2 linked regions of the Neodiprion lecontei genome follow. The protein of the gene in region 2 interacts with the protein of the main gene of each other region in a pairwise test. Links are inferred from orthologs where the notes say so. Each region holds a gene or a part of one and is shown on either strand. Other genes may lie near its edges.

Evidence for each region. The genes of interacting proteins can lie anywhere in the genome.
Region 1: the proteins of splicing factor 3A subunit 1 (region 2) and splicing factor 3A subunit 2 interact in a two-hybrid assay, tested with the Caenorhabditis elegans proteins (2 studies listed by BioGRID). The link is inferred for Neodiprion lecontei from reciprocal best matches to the Caenorhabditis elegans genes prp-21 and repo-1.

What each region holds. Positions count from the first base shown.
Region 1 is NC_060265.1:2,959,622-2,968,667, reverse strand, and holds splicing factor 3A subunit 2, read right to left. Parts: upstream 4,801-9,046; 5' UTR 4,436-4,800; intron 4,409-4,435; exon of another isoform or gene 4,258-4,408; intron 4,254-4,257; exon of another isoform or gene 4,151-4,253; intron 4,093-4,150; 5' UTR 4,072-4,092; coding exon 3,526-4,071; intron 3,436-3,525; coding exon 3,160-3,435; 3' UTR 1,602-3,159; downstream 1-1,601.
Region 2 is NC_060260.1:1,606,248-1,614,404, reverse strand, and holds the start of splicing factor 3A subunit 1, read right to left. Parts: upstream 5,034-8,157; 5' UTR 4,839-5,033; coding exon 4,733-4,838; intron 4,470-4,732; coding exon 4,139-4,469; intron 4,058-4,138; coding exon 3,898-4,057; intron 3,830-3,897; coding exon 3,548-3,829; intron 3,427-3,547; coding exon 3,319-3,426; intron 3,159-3,318; coding exon 2,993-3,158; intron 2,910-2,992; coding exon 2,226-2,909; intron 2,148-2,225; coding exon 2,086-2,147; intron 1,966-2,085; coding exon 1,858-1,965; intron 1,757-1,857; coding exon 1,583-1,756; intron 1,488-1,582; coding exon 1,386-1,487; 3' UTR 1,375-1,385; intron 1,209-1,374; exon of another isoform or gene 490-1,208; coding exon of another isoform or gene 427-489; intron 331-426; coding exon of another isoform or gene 190-330; intron 123-189; coding exon of another isoform or gene 25-122; intron 1-24. Other genes in the region: xylulose kinase, read left to right, coding at 25-122, 190-330, 427-489; FAST kinase domain-containing protein 4, read left to right, coding at 5,439-5,585, 5,763-6,224, 6,287-6,436, 6,538-6,783, 6,865-7,009, 7,096-7,179, 7,279-7,440, 7,521-7,596 and 1 more.

The DNA of each region.
Region 1 (9,046 bases), on a different chromosome or scaffold from region 2:
ACTTTGCTATTTCACTGATTCTCAAATCACTTTACTAGCATCCAATTCCTTCAATAATAATTGTATTTTGTGATAAAGTGCCTACAAATAAAGGTCTTCTGTGTTGCAGGAGGTAGCCAATCTGTAGCGAGTTACGAAGATTTGAGCTCCAGTAGCTTCAGCTCGGCCAGCAGAGCCTCCCTGGATGCACGAAGTTCACCAACGCCTTCCTACGGAGCCGAGAATATGATGGTTTTTCCAGGGGACAGTAGTGGATCTATTTGAGATTATCTGAGGTGCGCAGCCATGTTGCCAAAGTGGTTACGCTGCCTCAGATAGAAACGGGTTATCGATAGATAACCATTCATTGATCATTCGTCAGATGGTTTCGACAATCGTGCAAAACCTTCGACTCCTACTGAACACGGGGTTAAATTTGGAACTGGGGGTGCAACTATGCGATAGTGGGAAATTTTTGGATTTTGAATTTTCAGCCAAAACCCGAAGTACAAGTAGCAAAATTTCATGCTGTTCCAAAGTTGCACCCCTAGTTTAAAGTTGTCCGAGTTAATGGTATATCAGAATATAAAAGCATATATATAAATATGTACGCACATTTATGTATATACCACGTGTCGTAATGCCAAATTTCATTATCAGATCGTGTGAAAGAGTAAAAATCTCTATACGAAGTTGCCTGAAGATGCTGAAAAGATCTTATTCAGCCCATGGCATTTCTAATATGTCGAAATCAAATTAGCAAAGTTTATTCTAAATTCAACGCTACAGATTTTTTACCGACATGTATTTAGTCATGGTTGATGTCAAAATAGATTGAACTAATCTTTACTGACCAATGTTTCAACTAATTTTGAAATGCAAAATTAATGCGAACCATTCTGCTCGCCGTCAATGGAATGCTGATACATTTAATTCTATTGTACGCTATGTACCCTTGGGACAAAGTGTCATAGGGCATACCATAAATATTAATAATTTACTGTATGATACATATTACTATGACATTGCAGGAGCGTAAACTCCTACGTATAGACGTATTAAAATGCAGCTCTTATTTGATACATAAAATGGAGCACTGTTAGCACTGCAAAACTGTTCCTTTTGTTGGTAGAGAAAATTAAATTAAAAAATTTGCAGTATCAGCATCCATATACATAAGATTCATTGCTCATAAACATACAGATCTACATATTGTGCATTCTATACTTGTGAAAATAATGAAAACAGACCCGGGGTACAGAATGCAGCACTAATTTAAACCTCCCCAACTAGAAGTGTGCGGTTTTGCACTAACAATAGAGCCAACTATACTCTGCGGCTAATCGGGTGTTCATTACAAGAGAAATTATATGTATAGCATGCAGATAGATTGTCGTTTTATATTTGAGACAATTGATCAGTAAGAGCACTTAATGATTATAAATTTAAGGAGAGCATCAGATTAATCCTCATGGCAGAGTCTGTAGATAAGTCGCACTGCTTTCAAAATTATAAGCATAAGAATACTGCTGCAGGTACATCTACCTTAGCTACTATTAGTACGAAAGAACGTAAACAGAGAGAACACGACATAAGTAAAAGAAACAAAGTAAAACAACTGGTTCAAGAAACAAGCATTTATTTTGCACCTAAAATATTTTTTTATTATGTCGATTGTTATTTTTATATAATGTAGTGGTAGTGTTGAAAATTCCAAATAGTATATAAGTTTTCATTTGAGTTCGATTTTTGAAAGTTCGCAATCATTATAGGTATATCTAATTCTATGTAGTCACATCTCATTAGTTTGTACGGATTATGAAATTTATTGTTAGTACACTTCATATATCAGACTTGATGCACTGACACTCCATTCCAATTGGTGATTGTATTAGTGTAACATGATGGAAAAATTCTCCACAGATAAATTATCATAAAACGCTGTATTAGTTTGTTATGGGGCTAGTAAAAATATGAAAACAGCTGTCAGCTTATGCAAAATCGTTAAGATCAATCATAGAGAGTATACAGATATATATATATGTGCATCATACTTAATGTAAATTCAACATAAGTTACAAACGTCAAGTAATTCTGGACATTCCATACCATTTGTTGCAAAATTTACAATTACGCAAAGGCAGTGTCGTGAAAAAATTGCACAAGCAATGACTTCATTCGTAATCAACAAATTCTCTTCCTCGTAAATTATATGACTCCATTGGTGATTTAATAATTTAAGCTGTGATTAAGAATATATGATACTAGTAATAACAATGATGCCTAGTGTGAGAGAAAAACTTGTAAGGAGAAAATTATACTAACGAATAAGCAGTAATAATCGGTCATGTTATAACGATACTTAATTATTCAAGCTTTTATATTATACTATACTACGGATATCATGAGATGTACCTATAATAAAATATGGTAGACAGTCTATACTTGTAATCAGGATTACACTAGCGTAGCCGAATGTGACAGCAAGTTTTGCTGATGTATGACGCCGGTGTGAACTCAATTTACTCTATGTACTTTCAAGGTGGTTGATTTTGTCACAATGCCGTTAGATGAAGAATTTAAGTTGTCAATGATAGAATCAATTGCTGTGGGTGTACACATTCCACCACGTATGATACGTGGTAGGTAATTGAAACCTGCATTTCATTGTACCGTTGTTGTAATATAAAATTTTGATACATTCAAACGCGTGAATTTCATGAATATTTTGTATAATAATGACTTGCTGAAGCACAATTGAATCAGTACCATTTGCAATACCTCTTATAAATCGATGCATTGGTGACATGTTTACAATTGGAGTACACCTTGAAACAATATATTCCAACCTGAAATCCTTTGGAAAGTTCGGATCACTCTCACATTTTGTCTTGGTTAAAAAAAATCAAGATTGGTTTTTGAAAACATTCTTCTTCCATGATATTAATATTGCATCTGCAGCATCATTTTGTAGGAAGATGACAAGAAATATTCATGAAAACTAGAACACATAGGAGCTCTGTAGACTACACCACTTCCATTTCCAACCTCAAATTTTTGTCGTAACTTCAGAACCAATCTCTGTCCTATTCTGTGATAGTGCAACTTACACTTGATGGATGAATGACCATTGAACAGATAAAAATATTCAGCTTTATCCACACAGCTACTAAATTTTATTTAATTCAGATGAGGTGGTGGAGGTGGAATTTGCATTCCAGCCAATAATGCAGGGGGCGGGGGTACTGGATTGAACATTGGGGGTTTTGGTGGCGGTGGAACAGGCATCATAGGTGCTCCCATCCCTGGCCGTATAAGTGGAACGGGAGGAGGTGGAATTTTACCAATTGATGGTTTTTCATTTTTGAATGCAAATTGAAGAAAGAATTGTTTCGTGTCCTTATTCCAATGTGTCCAAAATTTGCCCTCAGCCTTCTCTACTTCTCTGCTGGGAACCTGATGATGAAACATTGCAAATATTATTCAAATGAGAAAGAAGGAAATCTGTCTGAAACATTCCGTAATCCATTGCTGTAAGCAAGTTACCTTGAACGCGATAGTCTCGTATGGTTCGGCAGCAAACAGCAGGTATTGCCATTTACGATCTGGGGGTTCAACTCGTTGTTCATATGCAGACATAAATCTGTGTCGTGGTATCACATTGTCAGCAACTTCTGGGTAGTCAACTTGAAAAAGTAAGCTTTGCTGACCAGATTCTGGATCTCTCTGTTTTGTCACCCTATAACCAGGCCGACCAATTTTGACAAATTTTTTTGGTTCAACTCTCGGTTTTTCAGGAGCAAGAGTTTGCGGAGCTTCTTTAGCTTCCTTCGCAGCTCTTCTAGCTAGATTTGCCTGATGCTTTTTACCCTGTGTGTGCGCCAAGTAACTTCCTTCGTTGTTGTGCAGCGTCAAGCAAAGCTTGCATTCATATGAGCCCAAGTGATTTTTCATAAAGTAGGGATCCTTGTTTAAATCAATTGTTTCCAGAGCAAGTTGTCGAAGACGCTCTCTTCGGTCGCGATTACTTTCTGACCAGGAGGCCACTCCTCCGCCCCCAGTTTTACCACCTGGCCTATTTTGGAAATCCATATTGGCTGGGATCTAAAAAATCTGAATATTTCACGCTATTAGTATTCTAAAAGTAATACTGATAAAAATGTGTACTAGCCTAAAATGCGTCAGTTAATCATGCGGCTTAAAGCATTGTGGACGCGTTCTGTTCCTAAAAGTTAGGTTATGGTGTTTTAAGTTTCAATCAGGTTTCAATAATAGCACCTTGAATTTAAAGTCTTTTAGAAAAAGTATGTAAACCTGTAAATTTATAGAAAGTGATGATGTTTCGAGCATCGAGAGGTTACCGCAAGCGTGTCAACTATGAAACTTCAACCATTGCACCGACTGCATGTAATCGATAGCTACATGATAGAAATATGCATGTAAGATCGATACTCACCTTAATTGAAAATCGACTTTTCGTTGCTTTATACTATAATTGCACTGTAGCCTTATTCAAAATGTCTCAATATTGACAGAATTTTTTATATATCGCTGCAGGTGCAATACTCCTCTTTCGCAAATACCCGGCGTATAATACAAATGAAATAAGTATAGTGATATAGTATGTCGCACTCTCGGGTCAAATGTTAAGACCGTGGTTACAAAGAATTAATCTAATGGTCTTTCATACTATCCTCAGAGAAAACTTCGTGTGATTCACCGACGGGAATATAAAAAAAAGACATCGAGAACATCGTGAGACCAATAGTGGAGAACACACAAACAAAATACAGAGAAAGTTCATGTTTTCCGGCCGTAACTTTTAGTCCGCTGCTCACAGCGAGATGAGACGACTGTACGCACGAGAGTCCTTTCGAAAATGACATCGTTATAGGGTCCGAATGAATCAATTTCAGCATTTTTGAAAATCTGTAAAAGATGAATCGATGAAAAATCAAAAGGTGTTAGCCTTACTTCTCTCGTGATTTTCGTCGAGTACGTACTCAATTCCATTCGCGCAATTAGGTTGATGGAATGCAATAGCATGAAAGAATTTATTGTAGCGATATTCGGAATCGTCAAAATTTTACCCTAATACCCAGAGGGCCTTATGCACTTTTTTTTAGTGATTTTTGAAACAAAAGACTGTTTGTCTTAGGGTCTATTTGTATGACTGTTCATAGACTGATTAGACCTTAAGGTTTCCATAAAGGGCGTTTAAATCGATGTGGGACCAACAGCTAACAAAAGAGAAATATATTATGGAAAGGATCCAATGTTTATTTATTTCGATGCAAGATACATAAAGTAGTAACAATACAATACAATACATAATGTTTACAATCCTGCAGAGGTGCGTCGGACTTCTACGCAAGTCAAAACTTGGAGTATAATCTTGATACTATGTGGCAAGTTGTTAAATTACTATACACTGACACGTAAACACTTGTAATAGAATTAGGACAAAATGAATGAGAAGCTGAGACTTCGTAGCTACAAATTTGTGAATTTTCTTTCGCACCTTTCTGATGGCCGTGTGCAGATTTTGTGTTCTAGCCAGATCTTTTGATGTGTTAGTCGGGAGGTTTAGCGTTGTTTATTTTCGATTTTTTAACTCTACACTTTTTCGACTCGGAGCTATTTGTAGGATTTCGTTTTGACTAATTGGGACCTCGGTGACGGAAATAGAACAGCCAAAGAAGTACTCATGAATTTCCGTATTTTTCGGCTGTAACTTTTGATGCGTTGATCGCGGCGTATTGGGACTGCGCCCAATCGATTTCTCTCACAGAACTACGTCGGGACAGTGCCAGAAAGAATTTATTCCAGCTCTTTTGGAAATCGCCAAAATTTTCGCAAAAAATACAGAGGGGTTAGCCTTACTTTTTTTTTGGCAAAAAACTTTTGGTCTCAGATTCGATTTAAACGATCCTTGTCCGACCAATTGGGCCCTCAGGAACTCAGAAATCGCAGCGAAAAGAGCGTAGGACCAACAGGAGAGAAATGGCGAGCGAAAAAGCACCTGCTGAAAAATGTCGAAAATTCAGGTTCTGGTTTTTTGGCTGTAACTTTTGATGCGTTGATCGCAGCGTATTGGGACTGCGCCCAATCGATTTCTCTCGCAAGATTACGTCCGATCTGTGCTACAATTAATTGATTCCAGCACTTTTCAAAATCGCGAAAATTTTCGCCAAAAATGGAAAGGGGTTAGCCTTACTTTTTTATTTGGCAAAAAACTTTTGGTCTCAGATTCGATTTAAACGATCCTTGTCCGACCAATGGGACCCTTAGGAACTCAGAAATCGCAGCGAAAAGAGCGTAGGACCAACAGGAGAGAAATGGCGAGCGAAAAAGCACCTGCTGAAAAATGTCGAAAATTCGGGTTCCGGTTTTTTGGCTGTAACTTTTGATGCGTTGATCGCAGCGTATTGGGACTGCGCCCAATCGATTTCTCTCGCAAAATTACGTCTGATCAGTGCTACAATTAATTGATTCCAGCACTTTTCAAAATCGCGAAAATTTTCGCCAAAAATGGAAAGGGGTTAGCCTTACTTTTTTTTTTGGCAAAAAACTTTTGGTCTCAGATTCGATTCAAACGATCCTTATCCGACCAATTGGACCCTCAGGAACTCAGAAATCGCAGCGAAAAGAGCGTAGGACCAACGGGAGAGAAATGGCGAGCGAAAAAGCACCTGCTGAAAAATGTCGAAAATTCAGGTTCTGGTTTTTTGGCTGTAACTTCTGAAGCGTTGATCGCAGCGTATTGGGACTGCGCCCAATCGATTTCTCTCGCAAAATTACGTCCGATCAGTGCTACAATTGATTGATTCCAGCACTTTTCAAAATCGCGAAAATTTTCGCCAAAAATGGAAAGGGGTTAGCCTTACTTTTTTTTTTGGCAAAAAACTTTTGGTCTCAGATTCGATTTAAACGATCCTTAACCGACCAATTGGACCCTCAGGAACTCAGAAATCGCAGCGAAAAGAGCGTAGGACCAACAGGAGAGAAATGGCGAGCGAAAAAGCACCTGCTGAAAAATGTCGAAAATTCAGGTTCTGGTTTTTTGCTGTAACTTTTGATGCGTTGATCGCAGCGTATTGGGACTGCGCCCAATCGATTTCTCTCGCAAAAGTACGTCCGATCAGTGCTACAATTGATTGATTCCAGCACTCTTCAAAATCGCGAAAATTTTCGCCAAAAATGGAAAGGGGTTAGCCTTACTTTTTTTTTTGGCAAAAAACTTTTGGTCTCAGATTCGATTTAAACGATCCTTGTCCGACCAATGGGACCCTTAGGAACTCAGAAATCGCAGCGAAAAGAGCGTAGGACCAACAGGAGAGAAATGGCGAGCGAAAAAGCACCTGCTGAAAAATGTCGAAAATTCGGGTTCCGGTTTTTTGGCTGTAACTTTTGATGCGTTGATCGCAGCGTATTGGGACTGCGCCCGATCGATTTCTCTCGCAAAATTACGTCCGATCAGTGCTACAATTAATTGATTCCAGCACTTTTCAAAATCGCGAAAATTTTCTCCAAAAATGGAAAGGGGTTAGCCTTACTTTTTTTTTGGCAAAAAACTTTTGGTCTCAGATTCGATTTGAACGATCTTTAACCGACCAATTGGACCCTCAGGAACTCAGAAATCGCAGCGAAAAGAGCGTAGGACCAACAGGAGAGAAATGGCGAGCGAAAAAGCACCTGCTGAAAAATGTCGAAAATTCGGGTTCCGGTTTTTTGGCTGTAACTTTTGATGCGTTGATCGCAGCGTATTGGGACTGCGCCCAATCGATTTCTCTCGCAAAATTACGTCCGATCGGTGCGACAATTGATTGATTTCTGCACTTTTCAAAATCGCGAAAATTTTCGCCAAAAATGGAAAGGGGTTGGCCTTACTTTTTTTTTTGGCAAAAAACTTTTGGTCTCAGATTCGATTTAAACGATCCTTAACCGACCAATTGGACCCTCAGGAACTCAGAAATCGCAGCGAAAAGAGCGTAGGACCAACAGGAGAGAAATGGCGAGCGAAAAAGCACCTGCTGAAAAATGTCGAAAATTCAGGTTCTGGTTTTTTGGCTGTAACTTTTGATGCGTTGATCGCAGCGTATTGGGACTGCGCCCAATCGATTTCTCTCGCAAAATTACGTCTGATCAGTGCTACAATTGATTGATTCCAGCACTTTTCAAAATCGCGAAAATTTTCGCCAAAAATGGAAAGGGGTTAGCCTTACTTTTTTTTTTGGCAAAAAACTTTTGGTCTCAGATTCGATTTAAACGATCCTTGTCCGACCAATGGGACCCTTAGGAACTCAGAAATCGCAGCGAAAAGAGCGTAGGACCAACAGGAGAGAAATGGCGAGCGAAAAAGCACCTGCTGAAAAATGTCGAAAATTCAGGTTCTGGTTTTTTGGCTGTAACTTCTGAAGCGTTGATCGCAGCGTATTGGGACTGCGCCCAATCGATTTCTCTCGCAAAATTACGTCCGATCAGTGCTACAATTGATTGATTCCAGCACTTTTCAAAATCGCGAAAATTTTCGCCAAAAATGGAAAGGGGTTAGCCTTACTTTTTTTTTTGGCAAAAAACTTTTGGTCTCAGATTCGATTTAAACGATCCTTAACCGACCAATTGGACCCTCAGGAACTCAGAAATCGCAGCGAAAAGAGCGTAGGACCAACAGGAGAGAAATGGCGAGCGAAAAAGCACCTGCTGAAAAATGTCGAAAATTCGGGTTCCGGTTTTTTGGCTGTAACTTTTGATGCGTTGATCGCAGCGTATTGGGACTGCGCCCAATCGATTTCTCTCGCAAAATTACGTCCGATCGGTGCTACAATTGATTGATTTCTGCACTTTTCAAAATCGCGAAAATTTTCGCCAAAAATGGAAAGGGGTTAGCCTTACTTTTTTTTTTGGCAAAAAACTTTTGGTCTCAGATTCGATTTAAACGATCCTTAACCGACCAATTGGACCCTCAGGAACTCAGAAATCGCAGCGAAAAGAGCGTAGGACCAACAGGAGAGAAATGGCGAGCGAAAAAGCACCTGCTGAAAAATGTCGAAAATTCAGGTTCTGG
Region 2 (8,157 bases):
GATTTTATCCCACGTTCTTTCCAGGCCCAAACACCCGCATTATAGCGACTGGGGGAGCTTCTAACAACAAAGCGATACTCCAAGTTCTCGCCGACGTTTTCAATTCCCCTGTTTACGTCTCGGTGAGTCGATGTCTCATTCGAAACTGCGGTATAATAATTCGAAATTACTAAATTAATACAATTTTAGGAATTAGCTAATTCGGCGATGTTGGGAGGGGCTTATCAGGCGAAGCACGGATTGCTGCGTGGAGAAAAAACTTTTCTGGAAATAACAGCATCGTTACCCGAACCTCGGCTATTGTGTCAGCCGTACAAAGACGCGGAGTCTGTAAGTGACGCAAAGTTGTAAATAATATTACTTGTGCAAATAATCTTACACGGAAAATTTGAGTATTTAGTAACGCTGTTTTGCAATCATTTTCAGATATACAAGCCGATGATCGTTCGGTATAGAAAAATCGTCGCCGATCTGCTGAAGAAGGAATAGACTAAACCCAAACGAAATACCGAGAAATTTTTATGGACTTCTGCTGTTTAACATTCCGCCCTTTTATCGACAATACAAGTACCTCTGATTAGTTTTCTACTGCACTGACGATAGGGCTAGTTAATTAGAAGACTTTTATTTAATTTTAATTCGATGAATGACAATAGAAATTTTAGGCTCCTAAGCATTCTGGAAATGCTTTTGGTCTACTGCTTGTTTAAAAGTTTATTCCAATTTAATTAATCGATATCTCTTTATAGTCAATGGTTAGTGAAATTACATTTGAACGGCATCCAGGTGATATTTTATGTATGGATAATAATATAATTTACTCGAGGATAATTTTCATCTACTCGAATGGCAATAATATCGCTGCATAATATAATTTAACTTAGCGCATTCCATTTCCACTATAATATACAATAGGCATATTATATAATTTATGGTGAAGTAAGTAGGCGAAATAACGACAAAAGTTTCATCAAGTAATCCGACTGCAAACTTGTAACAGCTATGCTTTGTTTAGGCAAATTTGAGTACTTGAAGGCACAAAAAGACTACCTGGCTAAGATACAATCAGGAGAAAATTCAGAAATTTCGCTCTAAGTTGTTGAAGAATGAGGAGAAAAAAAATTATTTAACTTACACCCATGTGCCTAAATTCCATGTAAAGTACAAGTTTTAATAAAATATTATTCCCATGATGATTATTTATTCGATAAGAGGTTGGATAATTTAATCGGTTTACCTTTTCCTTAGAAAGAAAAGAAGTCACTAATATACGTAGTTTTAAGTTTGTTGCATATCCAGCGTATAAGTGAAATTAAAAATTCTCTTAGGGTAGGTCGATTGACTGACATTTTTATAATCAATTGCCGTAATTACCTGAAAAACTTTTACTTCTTCCTGCCACCGCGCTCCTTTGGTAAAAGGTTTATCACGTTACCCGAGGCTAAATTATAGTAACCGAGAGTGTTGTTGTCCTTGAAGAACATTCCCTGGAAAAAGAATGTTAAAGCACGATTTCAAAATGCGCACAAATGAATAAGGACAAGTGGTTTCCGATATATGTATGATAAATCGCAATAATCACCTCGTATTGAAGCTTTTGTTTCCCAGGCGGCATTCCAGTCTGTTCGTGAATGCTTGCCTTCATTGTAGCAATGGTATCGCTCAATTGCAGCGTGATGTTCAGAGTTTGTCCGTTCAACTTCCACTCAGCTTTCTCGGTCATCATAGGAACGGCGATATTGACTTGCACCGGACCCTGAACAGCGGATTACATTGTTAAAAATTATAGCTTGAACGTGGGATTGTTGCTTGAATAATCCTGCGAAACGAGAAAGCAAAACAATTAATAACACTTACCTTATTTCTAGCCAAGAACTGTTGCTCCGGTATCAAGGAATCTTCGGTACGCAATTTCTTTGCTTGCGGTTCTTCTTCCATTGGCTCGCCAGGATGCTTTATACCAATCTACAATTTTTTGAACGGACAAGTAGATACGTAACGAAACAAAGTCGGGAATATCACAAAAAGAATAACGATTTTACGGCTGCTGTGCGTGAAATTTTAGTAAATTAAAGTAAATCTTACCCCACTTGGTAACGGCGGCTGCATCGGGGGTGGCGTTGGCATGAACGGCGACATTGCTGGTGCTGCAATATTAGAAAACACAATGAAACCTTACGTGATGAAAAAATTTTATTACTGCAGAAAGACGAAGTGAAACTTACTCATTAAGGGGGGCGGCCGAATCGGCGGCATGGGTGCCATCATCATCATAGGTGGTTGAGGCATTATGGGTTGCGGAATACCCATCGTCGACATTCCAATCGAAGGGGGTGGTGGTTGAGCAGGAACCGGTACGGGTTTGGGCGCGGGTGGCTTTGGAGGAGCTTTCAGGGTCGCCTGAGGCTTGGAAGCCGCAGCCGCCATGTGGGAGAGTTCAGCAGCTCGAGTGGCGGGTTTAGGCCCGATTTTCTCCTTTTCCTCATCAGGCAGAAGGCCTTTAACCTTATGGATTTGATGTATTTGCTCTTCAAGTGTAATATTAGCGCGAGCGGCGCGCGTAGCGGCCTCAACGCTCGACGTGTGACCGTCCCACGTAACCTTGTCGTCTTTCTTCTTGTCCTCTTCACCGATCTTCTTACCAATAGCTGTCTCCTCATCTCCCACACCGAAAATATCCGTACGCCGCTCGGCCAGCTGCTTCAAACTTGCTTCTATCGCCGTACCAGGAGCGAATACGGTCTCTTGGGCCAGTTTGTCCAGGTGCTTATCACGCTGCTCCACCCAGCGAGGATCCAGCAGACCAATTCGCATGTGTTCTTGCACTTTGCTTGCTGGGATTCTCTCCCCAGTTATAGGAGATATCAAATACTCATCTGGCGCAGTGGGGCGAGTATTCTTCACGGAAGCTAGATATTAATTCGTTGGATTAGATGGCGGTGTACGATGTTGTCGACGAATAACCTAAACTCGAGACACTTCATCAGCTTACCATGTTGTTTCGGATCGTACCCCTTCTTGACGACGACATTGCCCGGGGTTGGAGGTAGCGGCGGTGGTTGCATGGTATCGCGGTGTCTCTGGTCTTTGCCTCTGTTTGAATCTCCAGGAGGCGAAACGTCGTCGTCATCACTGGAATCTTCCTCCATATCTTGGACCTGGAAAAACTGGTGTTACAATGTCTGATACTGCTGACATGCGATATTAGCGATTATCTCCTAATAATATAATGATAAGCACAAAAATAATTGCGAAATTCACATAAAATTCTCATGCATGGACAGAATTTTTTAATTCACAGTATTTCTTGACATTCACCTGGTTGTTATCTTTTGCTCTGTCTTTCTCACCCTCGCGAGAGTGGAGCTCTTCATCCCCGTCACTTTCAATCTGCATTTCCACCTCCTCTCCATCCTCAATGCGTTCCTGAAAGAAAAACTCACTCAGAACATGTCCTAATCCGGTGATACTAAATTAAAAACTTATTCAATCGTGTCGTGTGAAGTTGAATAGCATTTGAACAGTTTACGACTGAAAATCCACGCACCTGCATCAAAACACGAGCTCCAACCTCGTCCGGAGTTGTGGGAGCGGGGAAATTCCCAACTTCAAACTGTTGGTAGTCAACCGTTTCAACGACAACAAAATCATGCCAATCAATTTGAGCATAAGCAACTCTTTCACGCTCTAATTCCTCTTCCTCTTTGCGCCTCTGTGCCTCCTGATACTTGAGCCACTCTGCGCGATATTTCACTTGTTCTAATATCTTGTCCATGTTCGCGGCTTCATCTCGCAGCCGAGGAAGTAAATCTTTCGGAGGAATCAGCACCTGTTGCACAAATAAATGAAATACCAATTTCTATTCTATATGCATTTCTGTATTCGAACCGGGCTTACCTTTGTATACTGTTCAAGCAGCTTAGTGAAATATTGAAAGAGAGAGTGCTGAGGACGCAAAAAGTCAAATTGAAAATTCCTCTGCTCACGATTCATTAGATTGGTCAAAAATTGGCGCCCATTACGAGCTACAAACTGAGCTGTCAGTTTGACAATGTCTCTGTAAAATAATTGACAGTTTAAAATGGACCGGATGCAATACAAAATAAATTCAGTAAGAGTAAAATAAAAGTAAGCCTACAAATCTAGAGCGGAAATAGACGGGGGATCAGCAATGAATTCAAAATCAACTGGCGGATCCTTGGGTACGAACGGCTGTTCGACTTGCTTCAAAATTTCTTGTTGTTTCTGGTGGGCTGTGAGATTCACACCTTTACCAACGCCCAGACCGATGACAGGCTCCTGTGCCTTTCCCTCCTTGAATTCCTTAACTTTGTGCTGATAATAAGCATGATACGGATCGCCAAAGTTGAGGAAATTGAACTTTGGGTTGCCAAGCTCGTTTTGACGGATCCTCGACTCAAACTCTGGGCCATTTCTAGCAACAAAACTAGCCGTCTTATCAACGATATCTGATCAGCTGTGTAAGGAAATTGATACCTGAAAGATATTTCCGTGATGATTTGTTATTTTTACAACATCGACTTACGATTCGCTCTCGTTTACCCACTGGCTCTTTCAAAAGCGGTTCGATTGATTACTATCCTCCACCTGAAAGGTGCGCGTTACGATCAGTTACAAAGTTCTTACACATTTTAAGCAAATTTAGAAGAGCGGGTGATGAGTGAAAAAATGAAAAAACGTTGCTCGAAAATTCAGTTTCGATAAAGGATACTCCTAACCTCCGGGGGAGGGTATATGATGCCGACGATCGGCTGCGAGGACGGCGCGGCATCCTCGACTTCCGCTGGTTGGGGAGTTACTATTTCTTGAGCCGGCATTCTTTCCGTAGCTCTATTCGCAACTCGTTGTAACAATTATTCACTCGTCATTTAGAAGGGCAAAAATTCAACTAAACTCCGCAGCGAGAGGAACGTAAAGGCACACAAGAATCCGAAATCAGGGCGATATCCAGACTTCAAGGAACTCAATGGAACTACCATAGACTACTAAGAAACACCAAAAGGGTCCGGGTGTGCGAATAATTGAACAGCGAGCTAGCTGACATGATCTCTATTTGACTGTTGGTTGATCGTTACTCCACTAGGTTCGCATTGCGCCAACCCGTCAATGTATTCTTTGATATGCTGTCAGAGTTTCGTATCTACGGTTCCTTTTAAATACAGACTGCAGAGCGAATGTGCAGCAGCCGCATAACCTCAATATGAAATCATAAATTGATAATAATATAATTTATAAATACGTATGATCTGTGAAATAATCGTCACACATTTAACCTGTAAATATAGAGTGAGTGTCATTTATAACATCACCTGTTACTCTTAGTGTTATGTCACGTGTTATTGGGAACAGAGTAGGGCTAGTCCTTCTGCTTATATGCTATGGCATATTACATAAAGAATTATTCATTTTCCAGATTAATGGCAATGCTACAATTTGGCGGAACCATGTGTAACGTGGTAACTAGGTTCGCCCCTCGTACGATATGGAGGATTAATTCGCAGCAGTTGTTAACACTCAGCAGTTCCGCAGCCCCTGTTCCTGACATTGCTTCTATTGTTGACAAGGTTTGCTATCCATTGACAAAGTAATACACAAACTGGTAGCTTAGTTTTTATTCCCTGCTTAACTTGCCTTCAGCTGTCTTTTCCTAATTTTATTACATTTATTTCTATTATCGCCTACTGCACAAGTGTTCCTAATCCTTCTTGATCACTTGTCATTTACTGTCTCTTGAAATTCAGCAGCCCAAGAAACCAGTCCAACAGCAAACCAGTACAAAGCAGAGTAAACCGAAACTAAAGTCCGAAAACAAACTAGTCGAAGCGGCATTTGCCGCAATACTGAATGACACGAAAACAGTGGCCGATAGGTCTTCAAAATCCTCCATTAGAAAAGATATTTCTGAGGCTAATACCATCGACAAGTTATTAAGCATAGCAGGAAATGAGAAAATATCTCAAAGAGATGGTCTCAACATTATGTCTATTCTCTCCGAGTGGATTAATGCAAAGACAATCACTCCGGCAGACTTTGAGAAAGATCCGAGGTTCTTGTCGCTTTGCAAACAGCTTGCAGGACAGGCTGAACAATCGACAACATCCAAACCCCACGAACATGGTGATTTAAAAACTGTGCTCAGCCTTGCGGGAGATGATGAGGCAGCAAAACTCATTTCTACCCTATCTCTCGCTCAGATGACCCAGGTCAGCCCTAATTCGGTAAACATGCAAAGTTGTTTTCTTTTCCTAATACATTCTGTTCTTAGGTACTTACCACCTTGGCTCACAAGCGGAGAAGATCCCTACCCATATTGAGATCTTTGTCGTACCATATCTCTCGCAGCACTGAGAAAATGAATGTAAAAGAATGTGCTGACATTCTATTTTCATTGGCTGTGCTGAACTTTCCAGATGAGGTATGAAAACGAAATATTTTTTTCTGCTTATCATTACTTAAGACAAAATATCAAAGATCAACACTTTTCTGGCATGTACAAATATTGGGAAAAATGTGTAGGTACTGATGGAGAAAGTTAGCTCAGAATTAATCATACGTATTCCTGAGAATAATGGTACCGCTGTAATAGGCTCAGTCGTAACATCCTTGGGCTTTCTCCGATATAAAAATACCGAACTGTTGGATGCGTTATGCGAATGGATCTTGGCAGAGCCACGATCACTGAAGCCACAGTACATCACATCCCTGTTGTTAACTTTAGCCACTGTTCAACACATACCTTTCAACATGACAGAATTGCATAAGGTACCAAACTTACTTAGAATTGGTTTTCCTCTCTTTTCTTGTCTGCGAAGCTTTTTCAATTTTTATTACTGAATGGTCTAGGCATTCATAAAGCCATTGAAGGAGACTGATGTATCCGCTTCGGAAATATGGCTTGATGTTGTCTGGGCAACTGTAATTCTAGGAATAGCAGATCCTGTCCAAGTTGCTTGCACCTTGAACTCAGTTTTTATCCAAAAATTGACAGGTATCTCAAAATATATTTCTGAATTGAAGTGAAACTGGGTCGTGAATACCATTGATCCTTATCACGATTCTGGTTAAATTTCACAGACTTACAATGTCTGACGGTGCCAAGGAAGGTGAAGCTGCTCAACGTTAATGCTGCAGCCAAATTACTAATCCCAAATTATACGGGTAAGTTTGCAGTTGACTATGGGCCATCATTCTAAAATAATTGAAAATATATTTAATAAATGTATTTCGTTTATCGAGAGATCTGATTATGTGATTTAGGGCCATTTTTAAACGAAGACCTCAATTCGGATGAGACATTCATCAATAGACCCAAAGAAAAACAGCTCTATGTTACCTCCGTGCACGATACCCTTTCCAATCTATTCGCTTCATCAACTTGTCTGAAAATCAATGAGAACACCGGAATGGGCTTTATTATAGGTGAGCTATAATTAATTGGAATCATTGATAAGTTGATATAATTAGCTCATAACTTTTCTTTATGATTTATCATTCCGCAGATGCGGAATGCTATGTGGACGATAAATGCAATCCACTACCGATTGGTCAAGCGGCGAAACACAGTAATGCTACGAGGTAAGTGTGTAAAGTTTGTTAAGGAATGGGGTACCTATATACAAATGAATATGACGTTCGCTTATTATATCTTTGAAATCTATTTGTGAAAATTTTGAAAATTGCTGTTTTAGACTTGCGGTGATTAGCCTTTATTACAACGACTTTTGCCGAGGGGTCCAAGAGTGTGTGGGTTTATATTCGCTGATCATCCGACTACTACAAGCTAAGGGATACAAAGTAGTGCTTGTACCTTATACAGAATTTAATCCACAGGATAAATTAGTAACACGTGTTAAATACTTAAAGGAAAAAATACGGTTAACGGTTCAGTCGAGTAGTACCTAGGGTCAAATTTCATAATTTGTTACTATTAATCCGTGATTAAACAATTAACAAATTAATTGAAGGGGGGGGGGGGGGGGAATATGCGAATGGCACACCATTGTGAACGACAATTGAGCAAGTTTAACTTGACCCATTTCTCAAAAGGTCGATCAATGTTATGCCATTATTTTTTTCCTTACGAAACACAAAATTCTAGACGTGAAAATCGAAGAACTACTTTCGTAACAAAAACAT